Elephas maximus indicus: one gene and its partner. The protein of the gene in region 1 binds, or shares a complex with, the protein of each later gene. Links are inferred from orthologs where the notes say so. Each region holds a gene or a part of one and is shown in the gene's direction. Other genes may lie near its edges.

Region 1 (3,902 bases):
AACAGTAGCATGGTGCATTTCATCCAAAAACTGAAGGCTAATAACAACACATATTAAAATGCTTTGAAAAGTACCATGTGCTACCAAATACCCGCAGTTACTGGTCAAGCACTAAGAATCACACCCTTGTAAACTTCCTTCAAAAACTGCTAATAGCAGAAGGCTGCTGGACACCATCAAAACATGTACCGAATGCCTATATGAAAGGCACGACACCAAACCCTTAGGGTTGTTATCAGAGAAGTTAGTACAGGAGGTGTGTTTTCCTATGGAACATCTGTAGCCCAGCGTCAGCAGTTTAGTTTTCTTTTTAAAACAGGTTGGAGCTTAGCAACAGACAATTTAATTGTTCTGGAATTCACTGTTTCTAAACAAACCAAAACTCTGACATCTCTCTAATGACATAAAGCCTAACGTGAAGTGCAATGCAAAGTAGGGACCACGGGGAGGGTGGAGGCGGTGGCACCCCAGCAGGTGACCAGCCGCAGAATCAAAAAGGAAAAGAACAGAGCTGCACCGGCCTCCGTTCCTGCCTCTAGACCGTGAGAAATCGAACTACGACAAGGCTAAGGACGAGTCACCAGGGTCTGCTACCCTGCTTCTTTGACTGAAATCAGAACTGAACTCACCGCCCAACCGGCAGCCGTTCAGTAAGAGCAGAGGACCGAGAGCTGAGAAGCCTCAGTCACTGCCCTTCGCTCCGTCCTCGGGGCTCCAGCCCGCCCTCCCGGCTCGGCCGGTCCCCACTGCCCGCACACAAACCGGCCGGCCTGACGCCCTCCGCCCAGGCAAGCTCTGCTCCCACACGCCCCCTCCCCGTCCCCGGCGTCCCCGGCCCGCCGCCTCGGAGCCCCTCGGCCTTGCTCTCCCCTCCCCGGGGGCTCGGGTTCCCTTGGTTCGGCGCTCACTTCTTCGTGTACAGCTCCTCCAAACGGTGCCACACGGCGGCCTGGCCAGGTCCGGAGCTCTGGCTCTGCTGTAGGAAGCCCGGTACGTCCTTCATGGCGGCAGGGAGAGGCCAGTACAACGGCACAAGCAAGTCTACGGCTGAAATGTCAGCGCCGTGGGGACGGCCGCCGGAACTGCTCACTCACTTCCGGCGCCGAGTCCCGCGGGGCAGGCCGGGAGCGCCTTCGCCCAACCCTAGGCGGTCGCTGATCGTTAGGGTAACCGCGCGCCCTTGGAGGGGAGGACGAACGTGCGGGGGCGGGGCAAGGGCGTGCTGTGGGCGTGGCGGGCTCGGACGTGAGGGGCGGGGCAAGTGCTGCTGGGCCGGGAAGCGGCGGGGCAAGTGCTGCTGGGCCGGGAGGCGGGCACGGACGCGAGGGGCGGGGCAAGTGCTGCTGGGCCGGGAGGCCGGCACGACGTGGGGGGCGGGGCAAGAGCGTGCCGTGGGCGGGGCGGGCGCGGACGTGCGGGGCGGGGCAAGAGCGTGCTGTGGGCGGGGCGGGCGCGGACGTGCGGGGCGGGGCACGTGCTGCTGGGCGGGACGCTGGCGGCCGCGGAGAAGATGGCGCTGTGGGCTAGCTGCGCGGTGCTCGCGCTGGGGAAGCGGTTCCTCCCCGCCCGCAGGCCCTGGGGCGCGGGAGGTGAGCGGGCCTGCGGCCGCCGACCTCAGTTCGTCCTGGGGCCGCCCGAGGGCCGGGGCGGGCGGTCGTCTCGGGCTCGCGGGCGCTTCCCGCGGGGGTGGCTGCGGGCGCGAAGGCCGCGGGGGCGCTGCGTCCCGGGCGGGGCGGCCTCGGCCTGCGCGTCCTCCCGGAGCTCGGGGTCCCGCGGGCGTGGCGGCGGTCCGCGTGGCCCGGCCGGTGTCGGCTCCCTAACGTACCCGGCCGGCTCCGCGCCGAGCCACAGCCACCGCCGTCCCGGGCGCTCCCCGCGTGTGTTCGTGCCGGCGCCCGTGGGCAGGCGCCCTGGAGCCGGCTTCCGCTCGCGGCGAGCCCGGGCCCAGCGGAGCCCCAGCCTGCCCGGCCCTGCGCGTCCTCACGGCCGACGCCTGGAGCCGCCGCTGCAGCCGCTGTCAGTCCCGCGCTGCGGCGCTGGCTCGTGCTGTGCCGGGCGTGGGGTCCTCCTCCAGGGGCTGGTCCCTGCTGACAGCGTGCCCGAAGTGTGTCAGATGCAGCCTCGCCGTCCTTGCTTCTGAGGAGCGTTCCAGCTCTACTGCTGGGCAGATTGTCCCTTCCCTTGGCACTCCATGGTGCATTCGACGACATTCTTTGCCAACACCACAATTCAAAGGCATGGATTCCCCTTCAGTCGTCCTTATTCCTTGTCCAGCTTTCACATGCATATGAGGTGATTGAAAACACCATGGTTTCGGTCAGGCGCACCTTAGTCCTCAAGGTGACATCTTTGCTTCTCAACACTTCAAAGAAGTCTTTTGCAGCAGGTGTGGCCAATGCAGTGTGTCCTTTGATTTCTTGACGGCGACTTCTATGGGTGTTGATTGTAAGTCCAAGTAAAATGAAACCCTTGACAACTTCAGTCTTTTCTCTCTATATCGTGATGTTGCTCATTGGTCCAGTTGTGAGGATTTTTGCTTTCTTTATGTTGAGGTGCAGTCCATATTGAAGGTTGTAGTCTTTGGTCTTCATCAGTAAGTGCTTCAAGTCCACTTCACTTTCAGCAAACAAGGTTTTGTCATCTGCATAAGGCAGGTTGTTAATGAGTCTTCCTCCAATCCTGATGCCCCGTTCTTCTTCATATAGTCTAGCTTCTCGGATTATTTGCTTGGTGTACAGAGTGAATAGGTATGGTGAAAGGATACAACCCTGACACACACCTTTCCTGACTTTAAACCAGGCAGAATCCCCTTGTTCTGTTTGAACGAGTGCCTCTTGATCTGAGTTCAGGTTCTTCATGAGCATAATTAAGTGTTCTGGAATTCCTCTTGTTTGCAATGTTACCCATGATTTGTTATGATCCACACAGTTGAATGCTAATCTGTAGGATTCCATTCTATGGGTTTTTGTAATTAACCATTTCCTTATTGATATGATTTTCAATATTTAGTTATTACAAATAGTTCTGAGCAATAACCTTGTTCATACACTACTTTTTAGGTGAATTTTTATCAGTGAAACTGCTGCGTCTAAAGGTATATACATTTTTAGCGTTTCCCCTTACCCCATAAAGGTTCTGCAGTTAGTCTCCTACAAGTGTATGTCCATACCCTTATACACAGCGGTTACACTTGGAATCTTACCTAGGAACTGATCCTACATGTGGAAAAATCTTCAGGCCCAGAGTTGTTAATCAGTGTTATTTGTAGAGTTAAAAATTGGAAACAAACCTAAACGACCAGTGAGTGAATATTTGAGTAAAATAAGCTTGTTACTTAATGTCATCTTCCATGGTTACTAAAAATATCAGTGAAGAGTTTGTAAGGAAGATGCTGGGGAGTCATTCATCCTGCCAGCAAACTATTCCTTAACTCTTACTCCATGGCAGACCCTTGTTCTAGGTGCTGGGGAAAGAGCAGGGTACTTGCTGTAGAGGTACTCCCCTGAGTCAGGGTGTGGGGCTGCCCTGACGAGCTGTCAGTTTGCACAGGTTTTCAGCCCTTTGAATTTCTGCCCCTTGGCTTTTGAGTTTGAGGCTCGTACATGAAATCACCCCTTGTTTCCCTCTTCACGGTATCTCCCAGTCAGCACCTGTGCCCACCTCAGGGTCCCCAGTCCCCGGCTCCCAGCAGTTTCAGACCATAGAGCGTCTACTTTAAGTACTGTACCCCAAGTACATTCTGTGCAGGTGGTAAAACCCTGTCCATCTGTCTGTCAGTGACTCAGATGAGGACTACGCATGACGTGCCTCAGCAGACGCTCAATAGTGGCGACAGCTTCTCTTCTGCTCTGCAGCTTGCCTCTAGAGGATCTCGGTAAATGCTGCTGGGTCCAGTTCTTGGT
Region 2 (3,902 bases), on another chromosome or scaffold:
GAGTCAGGGCTTGGACCCAGACCAGGATGCTGAAGTAATTGGAGAAAATTCCCATCACCTCAAATCACTTAAGGTTCCCAGGAGTGGTGTTTCTCTGCCACATCTTCCCCTGTGGGGGAGGTAACCCTACCCACCCCCACCCCCACCCCTCACTTCTCCGCCGGGCTGGGGCTGGGAGCTGGGTGACATGAACACAGGACCCAGACCTTGAACCTGGGGCCCCACCGCCTCCTGGCCTGAGGGCATCGTGGTTAGTCCATTTATCCCATGGGGCATGTCTGTGTGTGTGTGGTGGGGGTACAGACAGGCCCAGAGGGGTGAGGGGTTACAGGCCCAGAGGGGTGAGGGGTTCACTCTTAGGGGAGCACAAATAGATTAATGCTTTGACTCCAGCCTCTGAGAGGCTGAACTTACTGCCCTTTGGTTGTCGGACGCAGCTGTGCGGTTCGCTCCAGTCTGGAACCTGCGCCCCTCCACCGGTACCTCTCTTGTTGCCGGCTTGGCGAAGCCCTCCTCCTCCTCCCAGCCCCCCCCCCCCCCGCCCCGAGTTTCAAGAAGGGCGCACAAACAGAAAGCAAAACATCTGGGCTCAACTGTCAGTTCCGGATTGCAGACCAGGTGGGCGCACCGCGGTCTTGCCAGGCCAAGACCCGGTTCCGCCCTCGCGCCCCTGCAGCAGCTCCACAGGCACACTCCCTTCGCGCTCATCTTCTCCGGGGCGAGCTGCGGGAGGTACCTTCAGACCCCCAGGAGCCCCGGTGAGTGGGTGGTGCCAGGAGGGCGGAGAGGGGGCGGGCCCGCGAAGACACTAAGGGGCTCACCCGGCTCGTGGCGCCTCTGCTGGCTTCGACGGGTGCGGCGGGCGGGACCGGCTCCGGGCGCACGGCGACCGGATGGCGGGGCGCAGCCTGGGCCGCGGCGTCGGGCGGCTCCTCCGCAGCCTGCGCGGGCGCTCAGAGCAGCAGGTCCGGCCGCTGCGCCTGGCGAGCGCGCCTAGCGGACCGGCCTCCCGGGGCCCCAGCAGCGCCGCCGCCGCCGCCGCCGCCGCCGCCGCGCAGCCCGGCTCGTACTCGGCACTGAGCGCGCGGGCGGCCCGGGAGCCGGCCGCCTTCTGGGGGCCGCTAGCGCGGGATACCCTGGTGTGGGACACCCCCTACCACACAGTGTGGGACTGCGACTTCAGCAGTGGCAAGATCGGCTGGTTCCTGGGAGGCCAGTTAAACGTGTCCGGTGAGTGGGCTGGGGGTAGCTTAGGGCGCCCCCAATTCATGCGTCTCAATGAGCCCAAAGAGCTCCCCACCAGCAGCAGCAGTCGCTGGGCCAGGCGGATCGCAGCTGGTGTCTTGGCAGCACCACCGAAGGCCCCTTCCAATTATCCTGCCACACCCGCCCTAATCCACGGTGCTGTGTGATCCCTCTATCGGGATCCCACCCGGTCCCAGAGACTCCAGCACCGGCGGCTGTACGCTGTGCCGAAATCCATGTTCCCCGCTAGGGCCGAAGTTAGCTTGGGAGTCCAGCTGCTGGCTTTGCTGCTCCAGGCGGCTCCTCGGTCGGCTGACTACGAAGTTTAATGACAGTCCCACGACAGCGCCGTGGAGCGCCAGCCTGCAAGGGGCAGCTGGCGACACCTGGGTTAAGCTGGCGTGGTGGGTGCGGGCGGTCGGGAGTTGGGGCTCCCTGGCTCTCGTCTCCCGGTGGAGGCGAAAACGAAAGGCAGTCTGCTGGTTGATACCCGGAGCTGGAGCGCAGTGCGCAGTCGCTATTTGGGGACAAGCCCTGCCCAAGTAAACAAACTTCGCTGTGGCGGGACCCTGAGCTGAGAAAATTCCGGCCCAGCTGCGGGAATCAGTTCTGTCCTTGCTCCGGGCCTGTGTGTGGGAAGAAAGGCACGTCGGGCCATTACAGTCTTCAGCCTTTGCTGAGTCCTCAGAGCCCCAATGCCTGCTTTAGGTCGGGTCGCCTGAGGTCCCAGAAAGCAGCTCCATTGGCCAGTCGCATTCTCTGGCCTTCGCTGAGATGGAACCCACGACTTTTGTTAAGATTTGGGGTTGAGGAGACATACACCATGCCCCATCCCGCTCTAAGGTGCTACCTAGGCAGCAAGGGGATAAGGCCCTGAACAGGATTCAGTGGCCAGTGGGGCTGGGGGCTGGGCAGGAGGGGCCTTGGGCTAGGCGGGGTTGGGAGGAGCTGAGCTCTCCTGAAGGACTGGGATAAGAGTTAGGCAGGCGTGCTCATTTGCCAGGCTAATGTCCTGGCAAAGATCAGAGCTTGGAGGGGAGTTATTCTATTCCTTGCCTCAGTTTCCTCATGTGTAAAATGGGGGTGATAATGCCTAACCCCTAGGCTGACTGTGAGGATGGAGGGCTGTAAGGTGTCTGACAGGTCCGGCCCAGGCCCTAGTACCTATTGGCATTCAATAAAATGTAGCATCTTAAATTTATTGTACTCAGAAATAGCCATAAAATTACATGCAGTGTCTTGCAGCTACTTTTCAAACAAAGAAACTTAGGGAAACTTTGACTAGATTTATTTATTTATTTTGTATTGTGTATTACTTTGCCGACTTGATCAGAATGAGTTTTTTTCTTTAAAATTGAGTCAGCAGCAAGTGACCTTGAACTAGGTGAGAAAGCCCTGAGGTTTGCAGAGTTGGTGGAATGTGCCCTTGAAGAGAAGAGCAACTTATAGAAGAAACAGGGCAGAAACTGTGCAGTTCCTGGGGGAAGTGCCCCGACTTGGAGACCCAGGGCCACGTGGAAACCCCTGGTTGGCTCATGGTGCACAGCTGCAGCCTCGCACTCTCAGATAAGACTGTGGGAGGTCCTACAAGGCTGACAGCAAGGTCCCGGAGCCCCTTCTGTCAGGGCTGAGTGTGTTTAGTAAGCAATTCTTCTGCCTCCCTCTTTCTTCACTTATTCCCTGCAAAGACGCTGCCTTTACAGCTACATGAGCCAGAAATGGAGTTTCAGAAAACTGACTCATAGGAAACCAGCTTTTCAGCAGCATTCTCACCTCAGATATAGTGCCCATCCACTCATCTGGCCAGGAGTGTCTCTGCTTTCAGCCTGTGTCTACAAATAGAGGTGGCAATAAGAAGAAGTGCCACGCTCGCGCTAGAAGGTTGTGAAAGGGGTGTGGCCTGATACGTCTGTCGTGGCTGATAAAGTCAGCATGGCTTGTTCCAAAGAAACATTACTCTAGAAACTCCCATTATGCCTTCAGGAATACAGGAATATCTGTGCCCAGAGTAATCAGGTGCACATCTAGTGCCTGGGCTGGGACTGGGCTGGGAGGACTTGAAGGCTGAGTTCAGCTGGAGCTGTGATCCAAACACCTGCACGGGGCTTCTCTGTGGGCCTGGGCATGGCTGGAGAGGAGAGGTCCCAGAGACCCAGGCAGAAGCTGTTAGGCTTCTTCTGACCCTCCCTGCTTGACTTAATCTGATACATACAGGTTACCTGGTCTGTTGGAGTCAGCTTCCTTATCAACGAGAGTGTCAACACACCCGCCTCAAGGGCTATTGTTCGGATTACAGGAGAAAAAGCTCACAAAGCACGCAGCACTGCCCATAGCACATTACTAGCACCCAATAACTGGTGGTTGCTATTTATTAATGAGGCCTGGGGGATGCTGTGACCTCTACGTGTGGCCTCCAGCAGGGCTGAGACCCACGGGTCTGTGTCCGAACAGCCTGGGGGAGGTAGCAAGCCAGCTGCCTAAATGGCCCTTGAAGCACCACAGTGTCTGCCCATCCCGTGCCCTGGCGTGGCCAGGTAGCCAGGTGGGGCTGTGGTGTCGGAGGCCAGGTACAGCACTTCTGAGGACCACTGAGTGTGGGGGCAGAGTCCCCACCCACCTTCAGTGACTTGCCTCAACTGCGTTTACATAAAGTTGCT

The links.
Region 2: the proteins of SIRT3 (region 1) and ACSS1 are in contact, whole or in part, in a crystal structure (PDB 3GLT), measured with the Homo sapiens proteins. The link is inferred for Elephas maximus indicus from reciprocal best matches to the Homo sapiens genes SIRT3 and ACSS1. Residues at the interface, in NP_036371.1 of Homo sapiens: Gly145, Ala146, Gly147, Thr150, Pro151, Asp156, Phe157, Arg158, Ser159, Glu177, Phe180, Gln228, Asn229, Ile230, His248, Ile291, Val292, Phe293, Phe294, Gly295, Glu296, Pro297, Leu298, Gly319, Thr320, Ser321, Leu322, Glu323, Val324, Glu325; in NP_115890.2 of Homo sapiens: Ser640, Gly641, Lys642, Val643, Met644, Arg645.

Annotation. Positions count from the first base shown.
Region 1 is NC_064825.1:137,979,933-137,983,834, forward strand, and holds the start of SIRT3 (NAD-dependent protein deacetylase sirtuin-3, mitochondrial), read left to right. Parts: upstream 1-1,486; 5' UTR 1,487-1,510; coding exon 1,511-1,589; exon of another isoform or gene 1,590-2,432; coding exon of another isoform or gene 2,433-2,445; intron 2,446-3,902. Other genes in the region: PSMD13 (26S proteasome non-ATPase regulatory subunit 13), read right to left, coding at 909-1,003.
Region 2 is NC_064843.1:67,868,782-67,872,683, reverse strand, and holds the start of ACSS1 (acetyl-coenzyme A synthetase 2-like, mitochondrial), read left to right. Parts: upstream 1-836; 5' UTR 837-893; coding exon 894-1,230; intron 1,231-3,902. UniProt on the Homo sapiens protein: Catalyzes the synthesis of acetyl-CoA from short-chain fatty acids. Acetate is the preferred substrate. Can also utilize propionate with a much lower affinity. Provides acetyl-CoA that is utilized mainly for oxidation under ketogenic conditions.